Linked DNA regions of Coturnix japonica. The protein of the gene in region 1 purifies or fractionates together with the protein of each later gene. This does not show direct contact. Links are inferred from orthologs where the notes say so. Each region holds a gene or a part of one and is shown on either strand. Other genes may lie near its edges. The genes, in order: LRP6 and AXIN1.

Region 1 (15,529 bases):
GCAGTATCTCTCAGCTGCACCACAAACATGCAACTGATGGGAAAGGGGAGGCAGCATCACTGCCCCAGAGCGATGCCATAGCTGCTCCTCTAAAAGTTTTCATTAAACAACGTATCTGCTCTCTGGTGATACTTCAGATTGTGCTTCCCAGGTTAAGCTTGGTGAATAGCAGCATTATCAGTGCATCTGTCATAATAGAAACGAGAAGAAAGTGGAAACAAAATACTTGGAGTACAAGCTTGAAGTTAAAACTTCCATCAGCCAAAAGGAATTCAAACCAAAAGTGCATTTTAAACACAGTCTTAAGACCACATCAATTGTAGTACAGACTATTAAATGGTGATTCCAGTTGAAATAGTCAGTAAGTATAATAATACAACTAATATACAACTAATATACAACTAATATACAACTAATATACAACTAATATACAACTAATATACAACTAACATATATAAAACCCACCACTAACAAGAACCCATAAACACACAAACAATAACAACAAAAACCCTAGAATTATGAACATTAACAATTTACCATATAGGTAAAGGTGAGACTCAGCTATGTTTCTGAATCACCAGAACAGCAATGCATTTCCCAAACGAACATAAAAAGAATCACTAAAACATTTACAGGTAATTTTTTCCCACTCTTCCACTGTTCTTAATTTTAATATTTCTACTCTATAATGTTTGTGTGAGACAGAGATTCTTTGATTCCTGCAGCGTTAACATTTTAAGTAACGCTAACACTACGAGCACAAGCAAAAATTCTACTCCCTGTTTGGATAGAATAATAATGAAAGGAAAAACACCTGAAATTCTCAGTCACCTTCCACATATCCTTAACTTCCTGAACTCATGCAAACACATCTGCCACATTCTAGAACTGTTTGACAATGGATAGAGTAGAATGCTTAATACTGGGCTACTTTGGAGGCATAAGCATTAAAATAATAATAAAGAAAAAGGAAAAAAATGCACTTTTACTGTAGGAATGGATCAAGTTAAAAAATAAATTAATTAAAAAAAAGCAGGAGAAAGAAGGGGAAAATAATAGTATCAGAGAATAAAAACAAATGATTTTTTGATCAAGCAAAATTATATAGTTAGTTGATTAAGATTTTTCTGTGTCAGATACGATTACTACTCAAATCCGACATCAAGAGCTCACACATGGCCCTTATAAGCAGAATTAAAACTCTAATCCCATTTCTGCCACATTTATTATATCACGAGGGAGTAGTTCTATTTAGGTAACGTGATCCTGTAACAAGATACTGAAAAAAGTCGGCATGAGTGCTGCAATTTTCCATGTCTGTTTATATTTAAAACATTTCTCTTATTGTTCTATTCATATAAATAGTGAAACTCAAAAAACATTCCATCTTCTTATGCTGACACATTTTCTCCAGCTTTTGTAACAGTTTGCAAAGGAAACATAATATTTCTAATCCATAGAACTTCTTAAGCTACACTTTGAGTGGAATGTTCTTAAAAATATACTGTAAATTAAACGCCAAAAAAACAAAGGTATTAAAGTATTCACATTGTGGTTGTAGGTCATTAGACCTAATACTGTTTCAAACCAGGTAGGCGACAGTGCCAACTGCTTTGAAATAAACAGGTCTGTAGCACGACAGTCGCCAGGATACAAAGAAAAGTCTATTTTTGTAGCCATAGTGCAGGGGGATAAAACAACAAGGGAAAAAAAAAGGAGAAACAATAAGAAGTTCAGCAGTCAGACCAAGCAGACTAAGTCCTTTTGTCCGTGCAAAGTAAATAGGGAGCCTCATCACATAGTGAACCTCTTTCCATAAGTATTCACAAACTGCGAGAGTATCTACAAAGCTTGATAAAGGCTCTCTAACTGTTGACTTGCCTGCTAAATATAAATAGGAAAAAGTTGTTTAGGGTCGATAGTCAGCATTTACTGGCTACATTAATCCACTAGAGACACAATGCAATGCTTTCTCCTGAGCCTTGGACAACTACTGCAAAAGAAAGATGCAGCTTCTTCGTTTGGGTCAATACTCTGAAGCGTTAAACTCTGAAACTGCACCAGCTGGGTGTAAGTTGGTTAAGTCAAGGTTATTAAAGGGGAATCAATTTCTTTCACCTAATAAAGAGAGGTGCCAGCACATCCCCCTGAAAGAGCCATAACTACAACTGCTCAACTCACAAGTGTAGTCACAGAAAATTCATCACTTCCACAAGCTGACAAGCCACACTGTTCAGGTTCAATGCCTCATCTCCCACGCCAGCAATGCCAGCTACCTCATATGACCACACGCAACCATTCCCAAAGTCTGTGAGGTGCCTGCATCCACTCTCCTCATATCTTTCTGAGCAGCTTACACCACTAAGCCCATCTGTGGAACATTCCTGACCAAGGTAAACCATGTTTCACTGGCAACAGTTCCTTTCAAGGTACAAATGGCCCTTCATGTGTCATCACAGGAGTGGGTGGCAGCACGGAATTTCACCAGCCACATACTTGTTATGAACTAAGCCTGTCTCAGGTGAACTTGCAGATGAGCAAGGGCTCCCCAGCAGCAGGTCAGGCACGCAGATCTGACAGAACAGCTGGCTCCTCAAGAAGTAGCAGTATGCAACAATGTCCCCAAAAAGACTGCACAGAATCATAGAATTACACAGGTTGGAAAAGGTCTCAAAGATCGTCAAGTCCAACCACAGCCTAACCATAGTACCCTAACTCTAACAACCCTCTGCTAAATCATATCCCTGTGCACCACATCCAAATGCATCTTAAACACATCCAGGGATGGTGACTCAGCCACCTCCCTGCGGAGCCTATTCCAGTGTTTAACTACCCTTCCTGTAAAGAAGTGTTTCCTAACATCCAACCTAAACTTACCTTGGCACAACTTGAGGCCATTTCCCCTCATCCTGTCGCCTGTCACCAGTGAGAAGAGACTGGCATCTCTGGTATCACTCAACAACAGCACATACCCTTCCCTGTAGTACAAGGATGTGGACGTCTTGAAGAAGCCACCAGCAAATCAACCCAAGCAGTTAGCATTTCATAGGAAATTAATGAGGTTAAATATGCTGAGGTAAAAGAATATAGTGTCTGAATCTGGAGACTGGCTGCCAGAAGAGATAAACGGTGACAGATCAGAAGCCGAGACTTGTTTCTCTGTTTTTTCTCTTACCCATTCCCTCAGAAGAAAGAATACTATTTGTGCTCCACTGGATTTTAATTAGAAAGTAAAGCCCTTTATATATGCATTGTTGCTGATATTTTGAAGCTGGCATTTTTGACACGTGACATCATCATAAAGGTAGTTACATATGTCCAAAGGAATCAGATTTCTCCAGTTCCCAAAGGCAGAGTTTAAAATGTTCCTATGCTCCAGCTCTTGAGCTATATCTCTACCCATATCTCTACTCATTCTATAACTTCCAGACAAATTCCCCCTATTATCTAGAACTCAAATGCAGATGTAACCCATTCAGAAGGGAAAAAAGGAAACCTGATTAATGCTCCTCTAACCAGTGTTTTTGAGAAACACAAGAAAGATTTGACCCAAATATCTGTAGAGAACTCCCACTGAAGGACACAAGGAGCCCATCATCTTTATACACCTATGACTAGATCCACATACCCCACTGCTTCCTCATATCTCTGGCACATCTTGCCACAAACACTTCTTCCTGTCCTAATTTTTCTGTTAAAATATATATATATATTAATAAAAAAAATAAAGTTAAGGCAGTCTAATGAGAGCAAGCTATCAGAGAGATACAACTGCAAAAACTATTAAAACAATGCTGGATGTTTTATAACACCTTAGATAACACTAATTTTAGAATGTACTATGGAGAGATGAAAGAGGAAAATGCATTGGAAATCACAGCAGACAAAGTTGTGCTGATTTCTAAGGAATCACACAATGGAAAATGTGACTAGAAAACGGTCACTTTCCAACTCTGGGGAGAAAAACACCTCCAGTCAGATTAGCAAGACTTGAACATTAAACTCTTCTTAACTATGTCCAAATTAGTCTATCTAAAACAATACAAAAAAGCAAAGCTGTTCTGCTTATCAAAAGGAAGTTATTCATAACAACAGATTCAAGCTCTCTTCTCTCTTCTCTTAGCTTTTAAAAGCCTAATACCAAAGAGACATTTTCAACTCTTCACTAACTGATTAGTTAATCAGCACAAAGGTCTGCAACATCCACTATAGTCTACACAAACATCATTGATAAGATCTCTATTCAAACAAGAGCTTTATGCACTTTCTGCACAATCAGGGCTTTAAAAAACAACAAACAACAAACAAACAGCAATTGCGTGATGACTAGAGCTATTTCTGGGACAAAAGCAAGCCAAGAATACTTGGGAAGGTAGAACTACCTCTTTAACACTTTTTAATAAGTTGAAACCTGTTTCACACTTATCTGTAGTTCCCTGACAGATGTGATGCCACTGCTACTGCCTCTTTGCAATTGCCAGTTACCTAACAAGAGCTTGACTGGTTTCACAGCTGCCATGAAGAACACACAGAGTGACCAGAGGAAAGGTCTTACTGACTTGTCTGTCCAGATCCTAGAGGAGCAGCCTCAGGAAACACTGCTAAAGTTCAGAGTCCCCCAGATCAAACCAAAGACCAAGAGAGGAGCACAAAGGCCGGGCGGGTGAGACTGGGCAGATTCCAGGAAAGCAATCCCTTTCTCCTATCGTACAGCACAAGGGAGAAACAAATCAAAGAAACACATTCACACAAACCTCCACAGCCAGCTGTTGTGACATCAGCTCATCTCATACTAATCTAAATAGCTGCCTTTGAATAGTCAGTATGGTCTGCTTATCACAGTTCTCAGATTACTCGACAGAAAGGTGCCTTGGGGTGTGCTTCCAGTTCTGGATCAGAAAGGTCCAGTACTTCTCCAAGTCCTTACTAGTTCATAAGGTACCACACTTCCAGGCTACCAGTTTTACCCCCTTCCAGACTGATAAGCCAGTTTTCTTGCACTAATAATCACAGTTCAGTTGTAAGCCTCTGTCCATTTGTGTTGTGTTTGTTTTTGTTGTTGTTAAGTAAGAGCAGGGAGGCGAGCTCTCTAAACAGAGGATGCTGTAATTCACAAACATATTTTCCAGGTTTCAGCCTCCAATGCTGAGTTTAAACTCCAATGCTGAGTTAGTTGACTTAGCAGCCTTCACAGCACCAAATTCACAAACCAAGTAGCGAACGTCATCACTTCAGCTCTACTTTCATGTATAAACTTATTCATACTTATTCTGGCACTGCCTCTGCCTCATTAAGGAACAGCTGACACTTCGTATGAACTCAACACATCTTATTCAAACCAATTCTGCCTGCGAAGACGTTGTTTATTAAAAAGGATGTATGCATTCATATTTTATTCTTGTTTCTTCAGAGTTCAGCTGTTCCTGCTGCTTATATCATCCTTAAGTAACAATTAAGGAAATTACTATCACGTCACAAACATAAGACTATGAATTTAGGTGGAAGATCCAACAGAAGGAACACACAGAAACAGAAGAAAGGGGACTATTGCTCGGATACAAACATCTTGGCAATAGATAAAGACGACAGATGTGAAGAAATGACAGTCCAGATAGTTCACAAACTGAATGTTTCTTCAAAGTTTATTTAAGCATCACTGGATACGCTAAAAAGAGCAGCAGGACACGTCACTGTTCTGAAATTCATTTGAAGAAGTGGCTGTCGCAGCTCTGATATCATGCAATGGTGCTGCCATTTGAATTAAACTGCAATTGAGAAGCAAATGAGTGGTTTATTAAGAACAGGTATGGTCGTTACATAATAAAACTAACCAGGAAACTATTCCTCTCCCTGCTCTGGATCCAACCTTACTTTTGAAAACTGAAGTTTCCCCGCTCCAATTGGAAGCGAACTGTTACAGTGTATTTAAATAAGTATACTTGTATCCTTACAAACAGGATACAATATGGCAAACAGATGCATAGGAAAAAAAAAAAAAAAGAAGGGAAGGGAGTATGGAAGAGTGGAAAATTTTTTGTTTTGTGGAGTATCGAACAACCGGCTACTGAGCAGTTCCTTCAGCTCAAAACACCTCTATTGATCTTTCGTGGATAAATGTTGAGAACGGAGTAATTTTCTATATCAAACACGGTTGATGAACTATCAGTTATTAACCACTTGCATCCTCTAGCGCAGAATAAGATGAGAAAATTGCAAGATGATGGATGCAAACATCGCAGGTGATTTCTTCCCAACAGTAAACAGACTGAAACCGACGCAGGAGTTAAGTTCACAATACCCAGAGAAACCCGGTTTTAACGCCGAGACAGAAATCCTCCTCCTGAAGCAGGAATCGCAGAGGGGGGCAGCGGAACCCAGGCGCCCCGGGGGACCGGCAACAGCCCCTTGCCGGGCACCGGGGACCGATAAGGAGCCGCCCGGCAGCGGGGAACCCACTTCTAGGGGAAGCCCCGAACCGCCGGGGCAAAGGAGGAAAGGGGAAAAGAAGGGAAAACGAACAGCTCTGGCGAGGACACGAAGAGCGGCGGGGCGACCCGAGACACTCGCGCCCGAGCCGCGTTGCCGCCGGCAGGGCCGGGACCGCGGAGGGAGCCGGGGCCGTTCGGTGCCTTTTTACTCTCTTTTTATTAAAAAGCCAAACTTGAAGGCGGCAACAATGGGCCGGCCCCGCCGGCAAGCAGGCCGCTCCCCTCCCGCCCGGGCAAACATGGCCCCTCGCAACACGGCCGTCAACTTTTCCCCACCGCCTCCTCCTCCTTCTCCTCCTCCTCCCGCCCCCCGCTCACCTCGCATCAGGGAACAAAAACTGCAGGCGAGCAGGCTCCGCAGGACGGCCCCCATCTTCCCTCGCTCCGCGCTCTCACCGGCGGGGCGGCGGCGAGGAGCAGTCCCTCCGCTGCCACTTCATGCTGCCCGGCGGGCGGGGAGGCGGGGAGGAGGGCCGGGCAGCGGCGAAGGGCGGCCGCCGAGCCCCCCTAGCAGGCCGCTGGCCCCACCGCGCCGCAGCGGCACCGAGCGCTCCCCTGCATGCCGGCCTCCGCGCCGCCGCCGTGGCCGCTCGCCATCCACTCTCCGCTCTCTCGCTCGCCCGGCCTCCGCCTCCGCCGGGCGCGCACAGGCGCAGGGATACAGCCCTCCTCCTCCTCCTCCTCCTCCTCCTCTCCTCCTCCTCCCCCGGCCCGGCCCGGCCTGGCCCCCGCCCCGCACTGCGCCGCGCCCGCCCGTCTCCGCGCTCCCGCCGCACCGCCCGCCTTCTCGGGCGGGGAGCGAGCGGGCGGGCAGGAGGCGGCGCGCACGCAACGACGGCGGGGAAGCGCCCGGCGGCACGGCGGGCAGCTCTGCCTCGGGCGGGGCGTGGGGCGAGGGCGGGCGGGCGCGGCCCACGGGCGGCCGTGGGCAGGGCCAGGGGTCGGACGGGGGGAGCCGGCCCGACGCCGCCGTCGCATTCCAGCGGGACTATTTCCGCGGTGTTTCGCACGCACACGCCTCCGCCGCCTTTTTGGGTGCGATGCGGCCGTCGGAGCAACACCGGCCCGGGAGGGACGGGACTACTTTCAGTCACACAGCGGCGGCGGCCGCACAAAGGCGGCTGATCCCCTCCGCCCGCAGGTGAGGGCTGCTCGGCCGCTGTGGTGGTTCCCGAGTGAAGGGCGGGCTGCGGTGCCACAGCCTTTCCTCGAGCATCTCTGTGGTGCTGCCCCGTGGGCGAAGATACTTCGGTATTTGTGCTACATCTCACGGGACGTCCCTCCTCTCCTCCGTTCCGTGGGATGAAGCTACGAGGCAGAACGACTTGAAGCACGATTTGAGATCCTCGCGTTCAGAAGTCCGTATTATTTTTCAGGGTTGTTAGGAACTTATGGAAACATTTAACTTTTAATTTCGTATCTGTTGAACATATATTTTCATAGCTTTTCTTGTGATTACAGTAGGAGATAACATCTGGGCCAGATTAAAGGCCCAGGCATTGCAAACCGGCTCTGACATCAGACTCTGGCAGTCATGTGATGATATCAGACTTAGAGATTCTACTGGGGAAAAACTGCAAGTTAAAACTTTTTAGAGAAAGAAGTATAAGTCTTTATCAGTGACACTGATGATGGAATTGAGTGCACACTCAGCAAGTTTGCTGATGACACCAAGCTGAGTGGTGTGGTCGATACGGTGGAAGGAAGCGATGCCGTTGAGAGGGACCTCGACAGGCTGGAAAGCTGGGCTCGGGTGAACCTAATGAGGTTCAACACGGCAAAGAGCAAGGTTTTGCACTTGGGCTGGAAGAACCCCAGGCACCTGTACAGGCTGGGAGGAGTGATCTTTGAGAGCAGCTCGGCAGAGAAGGACCTGGGGGTCCTGATGGATGAGAAACTGAACATGAGCCAGCAGTGCGCTCTTGCAGCTCGGAAAGCAAATGGGATCCTGGGCTCCATCAGGAGAGGGGTGGCCATCAGCGATAGGGAGGTGATTGTCCCTCTTTACTCTGCTCTTGTGAGGCCCCATCTGGAGTACTGTGTCCAGGTGTGGAGCCCTCAGTACAAGAAAGATGTGGAGCTGTTGGACAGGGTCCAGAGGAGGGTGGCAAAAGAGGACTGGAGCACCTCCCCTATGAGGACAGGCTGAGGGAGCTGGGCTTGTACAGCCTGGAGAAAAGAAGGCTGTGGGGTTGACCTCATTGCAGCCTTTCAATACCTGAAGGGAACCAATATCCAGGAGGGGAGTAAACTCTTCGAAAGGGCTGATAATAGCAGGACACGGGGAAATGGATTTAAGTTAAAAGAGGAAAGATTTAGGTTGGATGTTAGGGGGAAGTTCTTCACTAGGAGAGTGGTTAGGCCCTGGAACAGGCTGCCCAGGGAGGTTGTGGATGCCCCGTCCTTGGAGGTGTTCAAGACCAGGTTGGACGGGGCCCTGGGCAACCTGATCTAGTAAATGTGTATGTTTGGTGGCCCTGCCAGGCAGGGGGGTTGGAGCTTCATGATCCTTGAGGTCCCTTCCAACCTGGGTCATTCTGTGTTTAATTCTGTGTGTATACATCCAACTTGGAAAGTTGTTTAACAAAGGGGGGGCGGGGGGGAAGTCTTGAAAATGTAAACAACAGCAATAGCTGCCTGAAGGCAGGTCTGCGTTTAAATATGTCTTTGACTCCACCAGGTGGAATAACCTCCTCTGTTGCTGCAGTGTCAGCCAGGAGGATAGAAGACTCAAGCAAGAACCATGACAGTGGAGGAGAAGGGCTTCCTGTGAATAGATGTACCTGAGAGTGGATGAATCTTAGCGTACCCTTGTTGTCATAACTGGATTTTGTGGGAGCAGACAGAAGCAGCACAGCATTCTATTAATTTTCACTGAGCAGCTGAAATCAAAGGAAACAGCAATTCACAGCGTTGCATAATCAGTGATTAACCTTTTGTGAAGTATTGCAAGTCCGTTGTGAATTCTTCATACCTTAATAACACAATGGACAGCTGAGAGAAAAGTCAAGCCTGAACCCTCAAATGACACATTTCTCTATGAGCTGTTCCCTCTTGCAGGTTGTATTCCTTTTTCTTTTGCTGGAAACACAACGGTGTTTTGGTTATCTCCCTTGGGAGCCGGATCCCCTGCCTGTTGGCTCTCCCATCTTCCCCACCATCCCATCTGACTGGCTTTATTTTTAGCTTACAAACATTACATGCTGTCACCCATCATGAATTTGACCATTTCTCTATATTTCAAAGACCTTTCCTTTCCTGATAGGATTTCTTCTAAGTCACTGACCGATTAGTGGCTTGACTTATGTATCCCCTTTTCTCCATATGCCTCATAGAGACAGTCCTCTCTCTAATCAAGCCTAGGTAGCATCTTTAAAAACTATTTTCTATTAAATGCTTAAGATTCAAGGCCAAACCCATGTTGTATCTGTTTCTCAGCTTTAATTCTATTTTGTACACACAGGAGGAACTCGGCTGTAAAGGTTTTTACAAATTAAACCAGATTACCTCACACAGAAAAGATTCTGACAGCCAGGTTCCTCTGAAATACTTACATTCTTTTATTTGATCTTAAAGTTAAGATGAAGGAAATAGGAGAATGTTTCTTCTATTACAGTAGGAAGCTCCTCTTGTTGGCTATAATTATTTTTATTAATCTTATGAACGGAAGTGTTCACTTGCTCATTCAAATCCAGTCAGACTGACTGTCAAGAAATCTGTACAGTGTTATTCCTACCGCTAGATTCGGATGGTGATTCAATGATACAAGAACTTTCACAAGAATTTTGTTATACTCGGGTTAGTTCCCTAGTTTGATTCATAATACAGCTTCACAAGCATTTCTGTCAGCACAGAGCACAGCCAGGAGTGGAAGCTGGAGCTCCTGAAACCAGTAGTAACTCAAGTCTCTGCACCTTTGAACAGTGCCCTGGGTTGCAGTGAAGTCGGTGGGATCCACTGTGGAATGGGGACTGAAGTCCCTAATGAACAAAAGTTGTTAGCAGAAGATGGTTGCATGGCAAATGAATTTGTGGCTGCCCACATCACAGAAACCACTATCATAATTAGTTCCCTTGCTGAATGTCTCAACAAGAGTTAATGGGCATGGCATGGTGAAATCCTGGTCCCTCTGAAGTCAATGGCAAAACTCTCACCAACTTCAAAAGGGTCAAGTTTCATACTGAAACTCTAGCTCAAGTCCTCTCTTGCATCCATAAGGAAAGACAGAAGCAAAGTAGCATAGAAATTGGGATGTGAAATAGTGATGACTTCATCAGTGATGTCAGTTACAACAATTTCACAGGTAAAATAGGACACCGTGACTCCAATCGAGTCCCTTTCTTTTTCTTTTTTTACTCATATTTGGAGTTGCTTCTTTTCCTTGCTCTTCGGTGCTACCTTATTTGTTTCTCCACATTAAGTGTAATACCTGTTCTTTTTTTACCATCTCCTCTTTCAGAAGATGCTGCCTGGTGTCCAAGATGGGAACTGCATTTCTTTGTGGCTGCAAAAAATCCTTACAACAAAAAACTTCACAGAGAAGGTCCTCGAGTTCAGCAGAGTGTAGGGGTAAGCTAGTCCAACAGGATTCCAGCGACAACCTGAAGGGGAAATATAAAAGAGATGACCCTATAGGCTTCGGCTTTTTCTTTATACCTTTCGAGGAGAGTTTGGACGCCTGCTGATGGTCTAGCCAAGATCAGGCTGTTTATCTGCTGCTTCTTTTCTGCTCTTCCATCTCCCAGGGAGTTGAAAACAACACTGCCTCAGGATATACTTCTTCAGCTGTAGTACTTTCAACATGAACCATATAGGATTCTGATTTTAATTTGGCACTGCCCACCAGGCCATAGGGCAAGCCCAATGCTTTCCTTATGAAAGCCACGTAGCCACGGCTATATTTCAAAGCTAAATTATGAAGTCATTTTAGAAAGTTAGAGTTCTAAAATTTGTGAAGAACTGTAATGCTGGGTTGATACAGCTAAAATACCCTTTCAAAAGAGATCGCATTGCAGACTGACAGATACCAAAACACTATTTTAGTTCAGTTTGCAAGGATTTTCAAAACCAGACAGCATCTGGGCTCTATTAACAACAACACGCATGCATTTTAAACAACAACAATTGAAGAAGAATTCATTTTCAGAACACTTTCGTGGGACTCAGTATTTTGCCATACATATCCATAGGACTTGAAAGTTATGCTTTGCACTGTAGCCTTTCAAGTTTGAAAATTAGTTCCTGGTAAAGGGTTGGACATTTGTACACACTATTACAGTCATAGGGATAAATTACTGGAACGCATGCCTTATTATGGTCAAGAAAGGTAAGTTTCAGTGATAAGCCATCGTTCGTACAACACTTCATTCTTTATGCAATATAGACATTGTGACGCACCATCTGTGCACAGGAAAGAGCTCTTTTGAAATTTGAAGTAGCTTCCTCTGAGCTAAAGCACAGTAATAACGATGCATGTGGGAAAGCTGCAGTTCATAATAACAAAAGAGAATCACCCTTCTTCAGTTCAAAATCTGTGGAGAAGATTTATGATTATGTTTATCTACATCCCTATCTTTATAGATTTATATTTATTTAGTCTGCAATTCAGCCAAGACTCCTGGCACAATGAGAAAATGGCTATGTATCTCCTTAACTGTGATACCACTTCAGGGGGGTTGTTTATATGAGCTGTTGAAGAAGCCCTCAAACTATTTCAGGAAAGCAGGACGAGTTACTTGCACACTTCCTTGGAGGTGTTCAACACGCTTGTTGTTCAGCACACACACTTGGAGGTTTTCAAGACCAGGTTGGATGGGGCCATGGGCAACCTGATCTAGTAAATGTGTATGTTTGGTGGCCCTGCCAGGCAGGGGGGTTGGAACTACATGATCCTTGAGGTCCCTTCCAACCTGGGTCATTCTGTGATCTGTGATTCCTTAGAGCAGAAAAGAGTGCCCTCTGATGGCTAACCTTTTGGGTTTAATATCTACAATGTTAATGCCAACCTCAACTTAGGAAATTCATAAAGCAAAATCACAACAATGCAAGATGCCAGAGCAGTTCGTTATCTCAAGAAAAAGAAATTATCTTGATTTATTTATGACAGTAATTAAAAATAGGGGTGGAGGTATAGTCTTAGTTTTTTCATTAAATTAATATTGGTCAGTTTTTCTAGTAGCAAAATTAATGCATTTGACAGTACAGAACTGTTACCTGCATGCATTCTCTGATCTAAGTTTTGTTTTACTGTGATAAGCTTGCTTTAAGGCTTGGGAAAGTGGCATGTAGAACGTATACAAGTCCCTAAGCCTTCAGTTTATTTCAGAACAATAAAAACGTGAATGCCCGAGGGTGTGACACCACTCTTCAATGAGTAAACTTGCCTTTTTTTTTTCCTTCTTTTCTTTGGATCTTCAATTCAACTATTAGCAATGCTGATAATAGTTTTTATTAGTCCTCGCTCACTTTTCAAAGCATGAAATCCAAGGATAACTGTCAGCAGCTGATTCTACAGTCTACCCATTTTAAACATGCCTTTCCCAGTAATTTCAAGATAGCTAGAGAATTTCTGGCTTATTAGACTCATATTGATCTATAAATCAGAGATATAGGATTCAGGGGGAATGGCTGAAGTGAAAGCCAAATTCCAAATTCTCTCATTTACCCCACTGTCAACTGGCAGCAATGCTAAGTACTGTAAACACCAATCTCTTCACAAGATATTTGAAATACAGGCCCAGAACAGCAGAAAGCCCTGCACACATTGGCATTCGCTAAATACATCATATTGATTTCATTACCTGTTAGCAGAGGAATGAGTGTGGGTCCTCAAAACCACTATGGTTCAATACAGAAAGATTTTGGTGTGTTAAGGCCTGTAGATCAATCTTCATATGATGACGAGTTAGAAGAGGCAATTATATACGGCTAAAGTCTCATTTGCTGCTTTTCCATAGTTCTTCAAATAACTTCCTTACAGCATGGACTTGGATAAAGATTCTTTGTAAGCTGACAACTGAATGTAGATAAGTGACAAAGGAAAGCACACAGAAAGATATGAGCCTCAAATATACTTATTAAAACAGTTGCGCCTGCTATAAAGATATTACTAAAGAATCACCATACTCAGTTATGAATTTAATTGATTCTGTTTTCTTATTAAATAAATAAATAAATGAAGCTATCCACAATTTCTTTTCCTTTCCTATTCCCTAACCTCTCCAGCCAACCCCACGGTGACAGTATTTGGTCGTGTGGATCTTTGAATAAAAGACAGCAAATTGTGTTTGCATAGGCCTGACACATAAAGCTCCTTCCAATGCCTTTTTCAGTGTCAGAGCTTTACAGTTAATGCAACTTGTACTAATTTTTCCTTACTACAATTGTGAAAAATCTAATACCTTTAGAATGATATTAAAAGGGCTTACACAGAAGAAAATCCCCATTTAATCTTGGCATATTAAGAAATCTTTTCTTTGAACGTTACATATAAAATGCTATTTTTCCCCAAAAACACTTTTAAAAAAAAAAATTTAAATATGAAAAGCTTGAGGAGTTGTAAGAACCAACAGTTTAGAGCAATATCTACACTTGTGGTTTAGGAGTCTTGGCAGAGGAAACATTGGTGAGAATTTACACGTGCTTCTCATGGAATTCCATGGCAATAAACTGTGAACTCAATATATCAAAAGGTGTCCTGGTTACTGTGTTAAAAAACAAACAACAAAAACCACAGTGGGAACCAAACTGCTTAAGAATGGGAGAAAGAATGTTTATTTAGTTATTGCTTCCACTTCACCTACCACCCCTTACTTCTCACATACTATAGCAATTATGAAACAGCAAGGTTTGGGTAAACTGCACTAATTCTCTCTTTATTTGGTTTACAGTACAAAGTGATCACAAGCAGACAAGATACAGCTATTCATCTCACTTTTTGCCCCCGTAGCTCTCCTAGTTTTTGCACACAAACTCTTGAGTACTCAGCTGTGTACCTGTGTATGGGAAATCACAGCCTGAACCTCTGATTAATCAGCTGAGGCAAGTGTTGGGTCATCTATGGGAGCACAGGTGAGGGTAATTTAGCTGTGCTCCTGGAAGGGGTGGAGCTTGACTCCACCTCCTCTAAGACCTCATTTAAGGGCTGACCACCACTGAGGCAGCATCTCTTGGAGATTGCTCCCTGGTGGAGGCTGCCTCAGCTTTCCAGTCAAGGCATTGATATTGGTGAGTTTTCCTTTGCTAATAACCTTTGATTATCTACCATCATCTTTGTTAACATCTTTATATTAGCCACCCTTACAACCTGACAGGCTCTTTTTTTTTAATATTCTTTTCAACAGAAGCGTGCTATGATTTATACCTACATTAAGACAAAACATCTGAGATACCTGCTTACAGCTGGAATGCTTTAATGGCTCTTCAAGACAAATTAAGGACAAAATCTGCTTTTTCTAGATGCTACTGTTAATTTCAGTAAGTGCAGGACTACTCCGTGAGCTAAAAGCTCTCATCATTGCAGTGCTGGCAAGTCACTTACTGTATAGATAACACTTCAAAATTAAGCTTAAGAGATCAAAATTGAAGTTTAAAATACTCTTCAGTTTCCAACAGGAAGATCTGGGAAACAAAAGTAAGAGAAAACTCAGCAAATATCTGAGCAAAACCTCTGCTCTTGGACATTAAGTAGAAAACAAAACAGCTGTGCAGGAAAAGAAGGTAGAAGTTGGATACTGAGTTGTCACTACTGATGGTAAGAGAGTAAAATAAACATGAATTGAGCCAAGCTGGAGATTCAAACAAGATGTATTGAAATTCAAGTAAAAATTCAGACAAGGAACATGCAAATTTGTTTCTGTGGAGATCTATTTTGTTTTACCAGGTCCATTAAGACGAATGCAGTTTCTATTTAGGATTTAACCAATATTCAACTAGCTGGAAACTAGTGAAAGGTAAAAGAAATCAGGGACCATTATAAATTCATGAACTTTACCCCAGAAAACATACCTTATCTATTCAATTAACTTTTCAAGTCCATGTTC
Region 2 (14,766 bases), on another chromosome or scaffold:
CTTACAGTGACTGCAGCATTTGGGGGACCTGGCTGTACAACAGCCCCTCAACTCCTTTGCTGCTGGCTTCAGACCCCTCACACTGCTTCCCCAGAGACAGAACCTGACAGAAGACACCGGATTCATAACACGATGGTTTCTGTCCTCAGACTGGAAGTGTCTCATTGGTTTCCTCCCTGAACTACCCCTCTCCTAAGGCAACACCCCTGAGCAAAGCCCAGCCTTGGCACTGGGGTCTGCACACAGCTGCCAGCCCTTCATTGGGGCTGCAGCAACCTCCAGGAGGGAACGTCTGCCCCAAGAGCAGGCACATGTGGGGGACAAGCACAGGGCATGGGATGCCAGTGTCCAGCCCCGCAGTGCTGAGCAGCAGCTGACCCTCACTGGTGGCCCACAGCCCTGCCCTGGTGGAAGGCACCACAGGAAGCCTGCAGCACCAAGAACTGGCACCCACCCTCCCTTTCCCTTGGGGATTCACTTGGTCACAAGAAAGCTCAGGAGGAAAACCACCCCTACCAGGTCCAATAGCTGCGACTGCCAGGGAGGCGAGAGCTCAACTCGTTCAGAGTGGCTCAATAATCTTCAGTGGGGGCCACTCTGGAGTGCAGCAGTGACTTCCACAGCAGCAGGGACAGCAGCTTGTCGGCTGGGTGCACCCCAGCCCAGCATTGCTCAGAGCCATCCACACTGAGGGGGCAGGGAAGGGGGGCTGTGAAAGCGAGGACCACACGGAGTCTGATGGATGGCTGTACACTTTGGGTGCGTTCTGCAGTACCTGCGTGTTTTTACATTTACATAAGAGCACTGTGACATTGGAAATATTTTCCTTTTATTACAATATATCAAAAATATGCAGCTTTAGTAAACAAGTTCATTTTACACTTTCTAATGCACTGTACAATGCTACATTACACTTATATTCCGTATGGAGAGGGAGCCCAGGCTCCCACTGGCAGGTTTGTGGGGGTGAAACGACTTCCCATGGCACAACAGAGCTTGCCCAGGTCCTGGCACAGAGTGGGCTGCACCGTGGGCTCGCCCAGCACCTCCTGGAGTAGCACCGCCAGCGTCTGCCCCAGACCTTCTCCTCCAGTCCCAGAGTCTTTCACAGTCCTTTCCTGCAGCCTTGGAGCCTAATCGATCTTCTCCACCTTCCCAATGATCTTCTCTTCGAAGATGGGCAGGATGGTGTCGTCCTCCCGCACCTCCTCGAAGACCACACCGCAGTCAAACTCATCACTCACTTTCTTAAAGTAATACCTGAAAGGGAAGGAACACGGGGACACAGAGGGGTTAAGGGCCACGTGGGACATCACAGTGATACCCAAACATGGGGGGCAGCTGTGGCTGTGAGCTCATGATGAATGGGAGCAGCCCCAGCAGACATGGAGGCTGGCATCCACCCCTGCCCTCTCCTAGTGAGGGTAGTCAGAATGCAAGCAGGCATGTTGAGAAGCAAACTGTGATGCAGGATATTTCTGGAGGTAGGACTCCAGATGCAAGTCTGAGTTCTACCCTTATTTAAAAAGCACATTCCTGGCTCACTTTGGGACTTACTTTTCTAAGTGAAAGGAATGTCCACTGGCAACCAGATGCTGCCACAACCCTGCAAGGCTGCTGAGAACCCCAGTAGCTCCCCTGACCTACCTCCTTTGCCTTGACAGGATCAACATCCTGGTGGTAGCAGCTGCCAGGGGGTGCTGACAGTCTGCTGGCACCACACTGCAAGTGGCAAACAGCCCTTACCTGTAGTTCCCTTTCTTGGTCAGCAGCTCCTTGAACTGTCCCAGTGTCACCACGCGCCCTTTGACGAGGGTGCGATATGGGATGGGCTCTCCACAGAAGTAATAAGCGACCACGATGTTCTCACATGGCTGGGATGCTCCGCTGCCTGGTCTCTTCTGGGGCTTCAACCTGTTGTACAAAATCACAAGCAATGTCCTGAGTATCGGCCTATGGTGCTTGGCACAGACTCAGCATCATCGGCAGCACTGGGTGCTGGTTGGGGTGAGGGGCTGCCCAGGCAGGGGATGCAGGTCCAGACCTTCATTTATCTGCAGAGAACTGGAGCCTTTCTGTATGGAGGTGCCAAAGTAACACTCAGGGCCCTCAGGAAACATCTTTTACTCTGACCACCTTTCTTGGCATACATCTGTGCACTCAGGCTGGTGAACAGCACTTAGAAAGGCTGGATGGAGGCCAGCTCATAGATAGGAGGAACAGGGCACAGGTTCCAGCTCAGCCCCTTCATGCTGCAGAAACCCATCCCAGGGACAGGCTTTGAAGTGGCTTTCCTGCAGCACTGAACTCTGAGAGCAATTGGTTTAGGCAGAGCAAGGCAGAGCATCACACACCCACTGCAGCCAACCAGTGTCACCACCGGTGTGCACCACTGTGCTTGGGCTTCAGGCTTCAAGGCTTGCTACCTGGACCTCAGTACAAGCAGTGCTTCGGTGATGGCTCCCAGGGCTCAGTCTGCAGGAGAAGCCTTCATATCATAGACAAGGAGAAGAAAGTGCCATCCATATCAGCTAGCAACTCCCTTTGTGAAGCATTTGGAGTTCTCATGTGCAGCTCTGGGATGTGCCAAACCCTGTGTGCTTTGCTGCTCACCCCATCCTGTCTTGCTCCATCATGCAAGGCCTGGCTGGGCTGCAGGCTGGATTTTGGAAGGCAGACACCATCCTCAAACCTCCAGTGAGCAGACCTGGAACCTCTCACACCTTCCTGCCTGTCGGGATGTCGGTCTGCTCCTTCCCTCCAGCCCACACACTGGCATTTGCTACTTGGTGCCATCACCAGATTGAAAGTGTCCAGTCCTCGCCTCATTTTCAGAGTCAGACAAAAGTAGCAACAATCAAAATAAGGGCACTTTGCACTTGTGTGGAGCCTTTCATCTGGGGCGCTGTAAATGCTGCACAAACATTTGAGCAGCCTACACAAATGCGTTGCTTGGCATGTGTGGTCTCAGCCAGAGGCAGCCTTCTCTTTCAGAATCACATAAAACAGATTTGGCAGCTTTAAAATCATTTAAAAGGCACACGGGGTAAAAGGGAAAAAAAAGGAGAAAAAAAAAAGGATGATTTTGTATTTATAGGACTGGAAAGTTGCTATAAGAGCAGAATACGCCAAGCACATGAGCTAATGGCAGTGTTGGAAATGGCTGTGACCTCAACCTTTAAATACAGTCACAGCACCTTTGTAATGGCACGTCCACAATAACATTGGCACTGCAAACCAAGACCAGGGAGAACTCTGTCACCTCTTTCTAAAGCCATGAGAGGTCTAAAGTTCAGCTCATAATGCTCCTGGTGCCTGCTCTGCTCTGGAGACCATTGGAGAAACTGCAGCATCCCAAGAGGTGATGGAGCTCCTTGTGCCAGCACAGCTCTTAGAAGCCATCCCTGTATCAAAGCACAGGATGCCCTTTAGGCAGAAAAACATTAAGGAATTGAATCATCCTCTGGAAAAAATAAAAAATAAAATCATGTGTTTAAAGGAAAAACGGGTCATAAATTCAGGCAAATTCTGTGTATCCTGTGAGCCAGGAGTTAATTGAAGGGGTTTGGAAAACCTCAGAGTCCCTCAGCTTCTCTTAATGCTGCTGGAAACGAGTCATGACTATGAGAGAGCTGCTGGTGCCCAGGGGAGCTGGCACGGAGGCTGGTGGGGATGCAATGACACACGCTGTGCATGCAGCATGGTGCTTAGGCTGCTGGAGGGCAGCTCCTTGGTCACTGGGGGGGCAGGCAGGACTGTCACAACCAACACCTCGAGCTCCCCAGCTCTGCCATGATAAAGCCAGAGCAGGATTGTGCCAATGGCTGGGAGCCTTCCTCCTCCCACTGTGTAATTTGTGCCTGAAAAGCTGCTTTGCAGCCACCTCAGACTGGCTGCTGTGCTCCTCTTCCCCAGGCTCAGAAAGGGGCTGTGGGGACCGTGTGGCTTCTGGAAAGCATGTGAGGGAGAAAGAGCCGCCTGGTTCTTTCTGACAGGACCCCAGGAGGCCACCAGTGATGGGACAAGAGCCAAAGGTTTGGTGCCTCCTTGCAGGAAGGAACATCACCCTTTAAAGCATCACAGAATACACACACGTCCCCAGATCTCTAGCAAACTGAAGCAGGGATGATGAATAAGGAATCATTGACAACACAGTTTTCCAGACATTCCTCCCCTGAGAACATGACAACACAACCATCTCTGCTGCCATCATCGCACAGAAACCTCCCGAGGCCACTTCTAACCCAGATGGGCCCCTGCTGAGTGTGCTGCTCCATCACAGCACGCCTGAACCCTGCCTCATTGGAGCCTCCATCTGCACCCATCCCCTGGGTCTGCAGTGTACCCTCTCCATGAACACACACAATTAACTCTCTGTTCCTTCTTCTGGCCTCAGCTCCCTTTGCAAAGTTTGTCACAAGCAGGAAATGTTACCCAGCAAGATAAATGCAGTGCTGACTGCCTTACTGCACCTTACCCTGCCCAAGGAGCCTTGAGCTGGGGAGGCAGCCAGATCATGGCAGGGGTGGGACTGGGGGGGGGGCTGTAAGGTCTCTTCCAACCCAACCATGCTGTGATTCTATGGTTCTATGACCAGCACTAACTCAGCCTGTGTCAGAGCACAGACACAGCCCAGCTGTGATGCTGCCATGCCCAGCACAGGGGAGGTTTGCTCCATCCCAGCCCTGGGGCCAAAGAGCTGTGGAAAGCCTGAAATACAGCCAGCAGATGTTACCTCAGGAGGTGTCCCAGCATCCAGCTCTGCTCCTCTTCCAGGCCTGGCCCAATCAAACTAATTCCAAACCAAGCTCACGCTAACATTTTTGCTGGAGAGACTAGAAAATTCTTTTGCTGCTTACGAAAATCTCTTCTCTGCAGAGCTGCTACTAATTACTTCTTCCAGCTGGAAACGTATGTGCACTGTGACAGTGAGCTACAGAAAATGGCTCAAAAACTGACTGCACAGGCAAGCAACCACCGGGACAAGGCTCTCCACCAACACAATGGGCACAAGAGGTCAGGTCAGCCAGCACTGGACACTTCAGCTTGCATAGGCTCCCAAAGATCAATGGCCCAGCCTCAAACACTGTGAGGAGGCAGCACAAGTGTGAAAGCAGAACGGCCCAGCGTGGCTCAGCCTGTTCTCCTGCTGGTCTGAAGGGCACATACCACAACGCCATGGGGTTTCTACAAAAGCTGCCAAGTTGTTATTAGAGTATTCAAGACACATGCATAAAGCCCAGGCTGGTGTTTCCCAAGTGTGCATCTGCACCTAGACGTTTCTTGGGAAGGTGTATGAATTTAATATGACTATAAATGACTCCACAAATAAACCTTATCCAATTACACCAAGTGAAAGTTAGATCAAATAAGCCTGGCCCAAGCCGACGTGGGAGAGCCCTCTAATTATTTAGCTTCCAATCAATGCTCTGATATAAATATGCAGAAGTCTGCTACATGACCACTGCAAGCACAAATAATTGCAGCTCAGCAATTAGAGGAGCTTGTTCTTTAAATTACACTCATGTTTCTGAATGTCAGACTCCAAAGTTTAGAGTTTTCAGAACACAGCTATAAAGCAATGAAGTGACTACAAGCAATTCCCATTGTGAAAGGTTTTTAATGGTCAAAGTGCTTTTAGTTCTTAACAGTAATTATCAAGCACTTCCAAAATGTTTTTCATCTGAGAGCTCTGTGTGCCTTGCAACTAATCCTCCCTGAAAGATAATACGGGAGCAGAAGAATTAGCTCTGCAACAGGCATTGAGCTGAGTCACAGGAAGCTGCAGTGACTTGGATACAGGCATGCAGAGAACAATACTGCTGCAGCAGTGTGCAGCGCTCCCCCTGAGCTGCCACAAGCTTCCTTTGCTGGAAGATTGAATGAGATGTAGATAAAGAGCACATACATATTCTTCTGCACTTAATTTTGCTGCATTCTGCTGAATTTTGCCACTGCACCAACCAAGAACTCTGCAACCAGTGTGTGAACGAACCACGAGTGTGCTGGTGAAGATGAGGTGAGTACAGCAAACCGGACGCTGACTAGTTCTACAAAGAGCGCTCTTCCCTCTCATGCTATTTCTAAACAGGCTCCACCTGCCCAGGCTCATTCAGAACATTTCCAGACTTCCAATCCACAAAACTCAAGCCCAGGCCTTAAGGCAGCTTGTGGCATTTGCCTGTCAGAAGCCATGTCAGAGAGAATGAGGAGGCTTCCCTGACCTCTCTGCAGGTGCCTCCACTCAGTTAGTGCTGGAAACTGGAGCACAGCACCTCCCATGGCTCCCCAGTCACAGAGCAGCCTCCCCCCTTTTCTCCCATGCATACTCAGACCCCATGGCCATACCTTTGTTTCAGTGGGAGTTTTCCAGCTCTCTTTTCCTCCTCCTCCAACCTCCTGCGAGCTTCTTCCAACTGGGTGAGTGGGTTGGGTGCTGGGTTGGGTGGCATGGTAGGATCTTGGATGAAAGGATGTGAAGGCTGGACGACGTTCCGGAGCTGGGCACTGACCCACGGATGCACTGCAACAGGCCGCTCAATGGAGAGGGGTCGGACCATGTCGTGGGACAGCTGCTTCTTAGCACCTGAAGAGCTACACACAAATACAAAGGTTTTACACAGGCTGCTGAGTCACTCTGCACACGTGCACGTCCAGATGATACCATGAAATGCACAATAGAAACAAACCCAGCAGAAGGCAGCTCAATGATGGATCAAATTTGTTCAGCAGGATCCGCCAGAAGACGCCCTGATGTGCACTGCCAGGCTGTGAGCCACTGATGGGCAGTGGATGTTGCAGCACTGTGCTCATCCTTGCCAGCCCCTGCGGCACTGCCCATGGCTCTGGCACGGCCCCAGCTGCCTGCAGAGCAACTTATCTCAGCTACTATTGTGAAACAAGGCAAAAAACTGTCCAGAGGATGCTCTCAACAAGCCCAAACGCTGGGCAACCCAGTTCTCCTTACCTGAGCCCTCTTAAACTGCTAACTCTGGACCAATGGCTTCAGTGCAGCAGGACCTACATTTCTATCAACACTTTGCACAACTGACAGCTGTTTATGTACAGAAAGTGCCTAAAGCAAAAATACTGCCTACTGTGTGCCTCATTATCCATTCTGTACCCACAGCAGCAATTTGTGAGATTCCTCTGAGGCTTCAACCTCCTCCCACCACCACAATTCATTCTTCAGGAAAGTAAATGAATTTTATGCTTAAAGCTCCCAAGCAATCCTCAGTCTCCAAAGGACCTTAACCCTTGTGCCTGGTGGATGCTTGTCTTCCCAAGACCTCCAGGAACAAGGCAGACCACTGCACAGCCTATATGTGCCTTACGCAGGGGATACAATAGGACAGCATGAAGACTCCTCACTCTACCAGCCCTTACCCATGGTTTGTTTTCTTATGCCTGCTGATCTCCTTCTCTCCTTCTATGATCCACTGAAGGATCTTCTGGTTTCTCTCCACGTCTTCAGGAGATCCTGGCATCTCATAGTTGGCACCATCACTTTTCCCTGAATCGGTCTTCTTAATATTTCTTTTTGAGAGCAGACTTGCTTTCCCACTGCAAGAACAAAGCTTGAGACATTAGCGCTTTGCCTAAGCCAAACCTCCACAGACAGTGGCAGAGGATGGACACGTCTCTCTTGGACACATTCAGCCCTGCCAGGGTCTGCTTGGTTCTACTACAGCTCAACCAACTGTGCCATGGCTAAGGCTCAGGGCAAGGTTGGTTAGCCTGAGGCACATCAGGCTCCCTGTCCCACATGCAAAACAGGGAATGCATCTGGCAAACAAGCCACGGCAATGCAGCAAAAAAGCCCAGCAGATCTCCTGCCACATAAAGGATTGTGTTCAACCCTCAGTTCTCTGCTCCAACATGATTAACAGGCTCAGAGCACGAGGATCAGCCTGGTGCTGCAATCCATTGGCTGCCTCTCCGTGTCAGATCACTGCTCTTACTCAGAGCCCTTCCTGTGCCATCCTCACACTTGCTTACAGGTTCACTAGCACCCCAAACCCCCTCCTGCCGTTCTGCCATGCCAAGCACTTGTTTCTCACCACCACTTGAACTGAGGCTTCATGTTGTACTTAAACATTTATAATGCCTTCTGCAGGCTGTCACCAACCTGGGTAATACAGTCCCATCAGACTACAGCTAGATTGAAACCAGGCAGTTATGGAAAGGCCCTGGCTATGTTTATGGCTATAGCACATCACTACAATTATCCCATCCCTCCTTGGCAACGTGCTGCCCATTTGCCCAGCAGTGCAGCCAGGCACCTACATGCTCATGGGGCTGCACAGTGCTGGCCTGTCATTGCCATAGCCAGCAGTTTTACCGGCCACCCCCGCATCCTGATCACCCACCTGCTTTACTTCTGTATGCTCATTAGCACTGACAGAAAAAAGAACAAGACTGTTCAGATGTGAACTCTTCTCTTACGAGGCTCCTACCCTGGGGAGAATCAGGAACTGGGAGTTTGTGCTAAAGAAAGGACAGCTCTGAATGCACCCTCTGACATTTCCTTTAAGCATGTGTTGCAGACAGTGCTAGAGAGGAGCTCTGTACTTAGATGGGGCTCTGGGTTGATCCAGCATGGCATGCTCTGTAGAACCAACCCAGCCATATCTTAGCCCTTTTCCTATGGAAGCTGGGCAGACGTGGGGGCCCTTCTTCCCCACCTGGAAAGCAGTTTGCTTCAGCTGCCCCTGCGCTCTGCCTCCCTTCTCCCACCCCATAAAGTTGCTCCTACACATTGATCTGGCTGCCTGTCTTCACTAAATATCCTACCCCCAGTACACTGCTCCCAGACAACACACCTCAAGGAGCTAATGAGCTCTGCACTGCAGTTTCTCCACACTTACAATCAGCATTCATTATTCAAGGTAGCCCTGAGCCTCACCTTTGCAGTAATGCAAACACAGGACTAGCAAAACCTGCTGCTGCAGAGAATGAGCTTCACCCTCTCCATTCAGCACACAGATAGAAGATGGAGGAATTGGGTGGTCATTGCAAAACTGAACATGAGCAGTGTGCACTGCAGCCCAGAAAGCCAGCTGAATCCTGAACTGCATCTAAAGAAGCCCCTGTCAGGGAGAATGTCCCCTTGGGATAGCAGGCCACAGCAGCACCAGAACATCCACTGCTTAGCCAGGAAGAGAAAGGAAACCTTCTGGTGAATAAAACAGGCCTTGCAAAAAGATGAACCTTTTTGTTCTCTCATAAACAGCTTAAGAACCTGGTTTCTGTTACCCAGATCCCGAGACACAGCCCTACTTTTATCACCTCCCAAAGCACAGGGAAGCCCCAGCACCTCTGCTGCTTTAAGGAGCAGAAGTGCTACTTTATAGCCAAGGCCAGTAAAAATCCTGGTTAGAGGATTTCATCACCAGGTCACAGAGATTTTAAGTGCTGTTAGGAAGCATATTCATTTCTGAAAGGAAGCGCAGTGGGAGGCCCTTAAGCCACGTCCTGTAAGAAAATATGGCCCAGCCACCCTGCTGCCCTACTCACCTGTAGCCTAAAGAGTCCATGGGGACAGGGGCCATGCCCAAGTTTTCAGAGTAGTTTCTTGACTTTGTTGCATAGTTATGTGAATCTACATTCCAAGCAAAGCTGTTCTGCACTCTCTGAGTGGCCTCGGCCTCAATTTGCTCTTTTGGTTTCATCATGCTGTGGTGATGGATGTGGTGGTAGACATGTTTATGGTGGTATAAGTTAGCTGCATCCAGTTTCATTCCTGATTTCGTTGTGTGTTTGCCATGCCCTGGAGGAATCGTTCCAAGTGTCCCTGACAGCTTCCCTAAGTGGCCACTTTCTGGAGACCGTGGCTTGGGCGAATGGCGGCCGGGGCCTGGAGACTGACAGCCTGGTGTTTTCATCACACGTTGCACGTGTTCATCCAGGATGCTTTCTGGGTTTTCTTCATGTGCATCTCTCATCTGCATCCCAGCACAGCCCATCTCGGAGTAGCGAGGGGCAAAGTGATGAAAAGGTTGGGCGGAAGGCATCTTGTGGCTGAGGACTGAAGGACCAGAAGAGAGATCTGCATCCTCGCCTTCTTCTTCCTGCAAGAAACAAGAGGACAATTATAATGACAGCAAGGTGGCAGAAGAAGTCTGTGGGGTCTTCCTGCTCACAGCACGACTGTTACCAACACACGGATGGGTCACCCTTGGCTTTGGCCAGCCATGTTGTGAATATGTTCAACATAGAGAGATGTTCCCTTCTTTGGAGCCCTGCCCCAGGCTGTGGCACCTTCCTGTAGCCACTGACACTGCAGCCAAACCCTCCACGCAGATAAAGAAATGGCTGTAACTGCCTGCTTGCTCTCGTGGCCCACAGCAGCCTCGGACACGCTGCTGTTAGTGGCTCTTACAGCTGTGCCAGGAAGAATAAAACTCCTCCGTGCTGACAGCCACAGTTTTGATGCTGACAAACGATTTTATGCTCCAACATAAACTCAAATATTTATGAAGTTTCTTCATTGGAAAACAGGCTTCTTATTTGTTAAAAATTACATAAGTAGGATTCCATGCAAGTGCTTTAATCCCGCTCTCTTTTCTTCCTTTGGAGCAGAGAATCATTTGCAGCGTGTGGTATCTCTGCCCTGCCAGATAAGTGCATCTGCTGGAAAACACTGCCTCCCACCAGCTCTGCCTGTCGGATGTCCCCATCCATCACTTGCTATTCAGCTTCAAAGTCTCAGCTGCCAACCACAGTGCGAGAAAGCAAATAACAGACTTCCTCCCCACGTCACACCTGGGGGTTCAGAACTCAGCCAAGGACAATGGCAGCCTTTGAAAGCACCGAAGATGTGGGCGCCTGCTGTGCCCTCTGCCAGCAGCTCCTCCAGGGGGCCACGCTGCTGCCCAGCCCTCCGAGCAGCATGGTGAGCTCAGAGCTGGTAGGAGCAGAGCAGGGCTGCCCAGAGCAAAAGCATGCAACAGAACGAGTCCCAGCAGATGAATCAGGTGCGGAACATGGCAGAGAACTGCAAATGTTTTCTCTTTACATTCCCCTCTCTCTGCAATATGAACCTACTTCAGAAGTTGTTCAGACCCGCCTCACCATGTGGCAGGGATCAGAAACGGGCTGTTGTGCAAACACCTCGGAACAAGGCTGATCCCACAGCACAGCAGCACTGTTACAGTGACTCAGATGACAGCAGGTCACTCTGCAGATCTGGAGCTCAGGCTGACGTGATACCCATTCCCACAGGAGACAGCCCACTTCTCACAGACTGCTTTTAAAACCTTCAGGAGCACCTTTCATCTCCAGTGACAACACTGCAGCCTGTAAAACCCCATCTCTGCACAGCTGGTTTAGGAACAAGACAGAGTATGTGCAGCCTAAACCCATAATGCTGAGTTAAATGATTATGAGCAGGTTATGATAACACAGCCACACACTCGATACTTTGGAGGCTTTTAGGGCTGGTACCCACATTGTTCTGCTCAAGGACTGAGGTCAGGGTGGGCTAAGGGAAGGGGAGGGATGCACTGTCTCACTGTGCCCTGTCTCAGCTCATCTGTTTCACCAAGCTCTGGGAAGTTGGCTCCCCCCAGACAACCAGGAGCTCAGTGCAGCTGCACTGGGCACAAGTCAGCCCCTCACCTGGCACTTCTGGGCCTGCTGCACACAAACATGAGGAGCCAGGAGGACCAGCCTCCACTCCTGCCCAGGGCTGTGCCCTATGCAGGTCCCTGCTGCCTGCAGCCCGTGCCGGGCAGCCTCAGGTGGCACAGCCACTAGGTGGTGCTTGGGGGACGTGGTACCGGCAGGCACATCCTCTGCCAGCTTGCACAGCCAGCGACAGTGAGACGGATGCTTCGACTTTGCCGACTGCCTGCTGAGCTATTTTTACTCTACAGCCCAGCCTGAGTCCTTCCCTTGGAGCCGGGAGGCTGAACAGGCGCTGCTGAGCTATGGATAAGCAATATCTTGCTTTCACATCTCCCCACATCTCCCAGTCCCACCTGCAGGCTGCCAGGCTGAAATAGCTCACCTAGCACAGGAGTGCATTTATATCTTCAAGCAAAGTGCATTTTCCCTCTACTCAGACAACGTTTTACACTCAAATATTGAGCATCTCAGCAATGGTTTTACTTCTCCTGCACTTGGCTTATTTGAAACTCACTGGGTTGGGAGGCAGTCCTGCAGCTCCCATACAGCTGAGAAAGTAACAAGGCAGCATCCTCCCATCACCTCCTGCACCTGCTCAACATAATTAACAAATTCAGAGCTTTTAGGTTTGTTGTTTTCTTTAAAAAAAAACAATCCTATTATTTTTTTTCCAGCAGAAGACATCTGGTTCTCTATCAGGTATCTCTTTCAGATGCTGCTGTATGATGTGGCTTTGAAAGGGAACCTGCAGGCAGCCCAGTATGGGGTGGAGAAACCTTTTTTTTGAAGCTTTTGCAAAATATTTCCAGCTTCTCTGCTAAGCTGATAACTGCCCAGTGTGAGTAATGCCGTATGGTTTCCCCTGTGCAATGAGCCATGCAGAACCAGTAAGAGGTCACCCTGTAGTCCTAGTGCTCAGGACTGTGATCTCTGAGGATCCAAGCTCTCCTCTTGCTGATTCCAGCAGCTCTTGCACCCAAAGTACTGACCTAAAAAAACTACAGTTGCTTACTCTGAGTTTTTCCTGAATGGTTAATGCTAAATGCCAGCCAGTCAATGAAATATATTCTGTAGACAGCAAAGAGGTTTAATACATAGCAATAGTGGGAGGCTGGGGATTAAAAATAGATTAAGTCACACAAAAATATGTTTAGACAGACTTAAATTTATTCTCTGGCATAGGCATTTGCTGATTTTATGGTATTGCTACTGGCAACTTCTTCAGGGTGGTAGAGAGCAGGGCTAACGTAGCTGGGCACTGCTGGGGGCAGCAATGTAGCTATGGGAGGAGGAGGACTACGAATAGGAAATGCTGCTGGTCACATTGGCTTTGTCTAGAAAGCAATATGTATGGTAAAGAAAACAGACCAATTCCTAAAGAGCAGGAGCCTAATGACAAAATAGAACCTTGCTGGTGTGTTTCTGGCTGGATGCTGAACACAGCAGTGCAGAGAGTCTGATGGACAATGCTTGGCAATGAAACGCAGCTCAAAGGTTACCCTGCATCCTCACTTCTTACACTGGAAAAATGTGATTTAAATCAATACCACAGCCCTATTGTGCCTTTTCTGTTTAAAGAGATACTAGATTAACTTCAAAAACTATCAATGAGTATTTAAAAATAATGAGCTTGAAAGGTCTGCCACAGACATTCAACTTCTCTGAAAGCACAGAGCTTGCTGAGATAGACAGGAACACCTCTGCTTTAAGGAGAGCTGCAGGGTGCACAGCACACAGCCTTTGCCTCAAGGCTACAGCAGCTATTAACTGTGGAGTCCCATAACTTCTTCCCACAGGGCTGTAGTCATATGACATTTGTGGTGTTCAATAACACTATGATGCCCTCTGAAAAGTCCCTGTGTCTCCAGCACAAGATAAACACCTAAACACACAGGATCTGTACCTACCTGTGAGATGCAGTACATCAGAAGAAAAGATAAGGTGTCAGTACTGCTGACAGGGTGTCTCACAATTGGACTGCCAATCCCTCATTCTCTCCCTTGTGGAGCTTGTTGAGGAGCTAAAAGCTTTTGGTTCATCTACCAAATACTCAGGTTTCGAAGGGCTCCATCAGTACCAGGGCCTCCAGCACACAGTGCCATAGGTTGGGCTTCCCCAGCCATCTGTGTGGAATCCCTGCATTTTTCTGCCCAAGAGAAGAATTTTGGATGCTGCACCTGATGTAGGGAGCCTGCAGAAGCCCCATGCAGGTGATAAATGTAGTCAACCAGGTTGCTTTCATGGCAGCTGAGAAATTCCAGTCATGTGCATTAAGCAAACATCCCTGGGTTGGTACAAGAGACAAGGAGATCACTAACCGCTCGAACACGTTTAAGGCGCTCCTCCAGTTTCTCCTCTGCTTCACGTTCCTTCTGTACTTCTTCCAAACGATTGATCAGTTCTGCAGCAAACTTTTCTGGTTCGACATGGATATCCTTTGGCATTCGATATGTACGCTGGAGGGAAAACACAGTGTGGTTAGCAAAAGGTGCATGAAAATCACACATTTATCCTGGAGGCACAAATAATTGGAAATGCCAGTTGTCCCAATGGGAGCACAGGGAAGACAAGCTGGCAGACACAGGGGTGAGGCTTGGGACTGATCAGTTGGAAGCTCATGAGCTCACTGTCTGGTACCAGCTCCGTATACCCCCTCACACAGGCAAAGGTGCCCTGGAGCCAAAAGTAGTTAAGCTCTTTTGGCATCAGACTCCATTCGGGGACATATACAGTAATAATCCTTAAAATTACAAAAGGTCAACATGAATATCCTGGTCTCAAATGGTGGGAAAAGGACATATAGACAAGCCTGTCTCATACCAAAAGAACAAATGCAGCACCAGAAACAGACATCAAGCTTGGAGTCCTTAAAAAAGGATTAGAGACCACCCAAATTTACGCTGAGTCAGCATGAAGACCAGTGCAGGAGGCTAAAGGAACACTCTGCCTTAGAACTAACAAAAGCATGCAAACCTTCGTTTTCCTCTCTGCCAACTGCTGAATGGAAAGCAAAGGGAAGAAAAGCAAGGACGATGAGTATCCCACTCACTGCACTGTGAAGCTGGACATGTCTTCTGTGACACTCAGGTTCCAAGTTGCAATTTAAAGCATCCATTTTTTCATTCACCGAGATCAAAA

The links.
Region 2: the proteins of LRP6 (region 1) and AXIN1 purify together in Homo sapiens (affinity purification with western blotting; 7 studies listed by BioGRID and IntAct, with this or other methods). This does not show direct contact. The link is inferred for Coturnix japonica from reciprocal best matches to the Homo sapiens genes LRP6 and AXIN1.

The regions. Positions count from the first base shown.
Region 1 is NC_029516.1:66,022,694-66,038,222, forward strand, and holds the start of LRP6 (low-density lipoprotein receptor-related protein 6), read right to left. Parts: upstream 7,144-15,529; 5' UTR 6,862-7,143; coding exon 6,807-6,861; intron 1-6,806. UniProt on the Homo sapiens protein: Component of the Wnt-Fzd-LRP5-LRP6 complex that triggers beta-catenin signaling through inducing aggregation of receptor-ligand complexes into ribosome-sized signalosomes.
Region 2 is NC_029529.1:10,794,128-10,808,893, reverse strand, and holds the end of AXIN1 (axin-1), read right to left. Parts: intron 14,085-14,766; coding exon 13,947-14,084; intron 10,071-13,946; coding exon 9,517-10,070; intron 7,564-9,516; coding exon 7,387-7,563; intron 6,595-7,386; coding exon 6,349-6,594; intron 1,915-6,348; coding exon 1,747-1,914; intron 1,261-1,746; coding exon 1,134-1,260; 3' UTR 808-1,133; downstream 1-807. UniProt on the Homo sapiens protein: Component of the beta-catenin destruction complex required for regulating CTNNB1 levels through phosphorylation and ubiquitination, and modulating Wnt-signaling.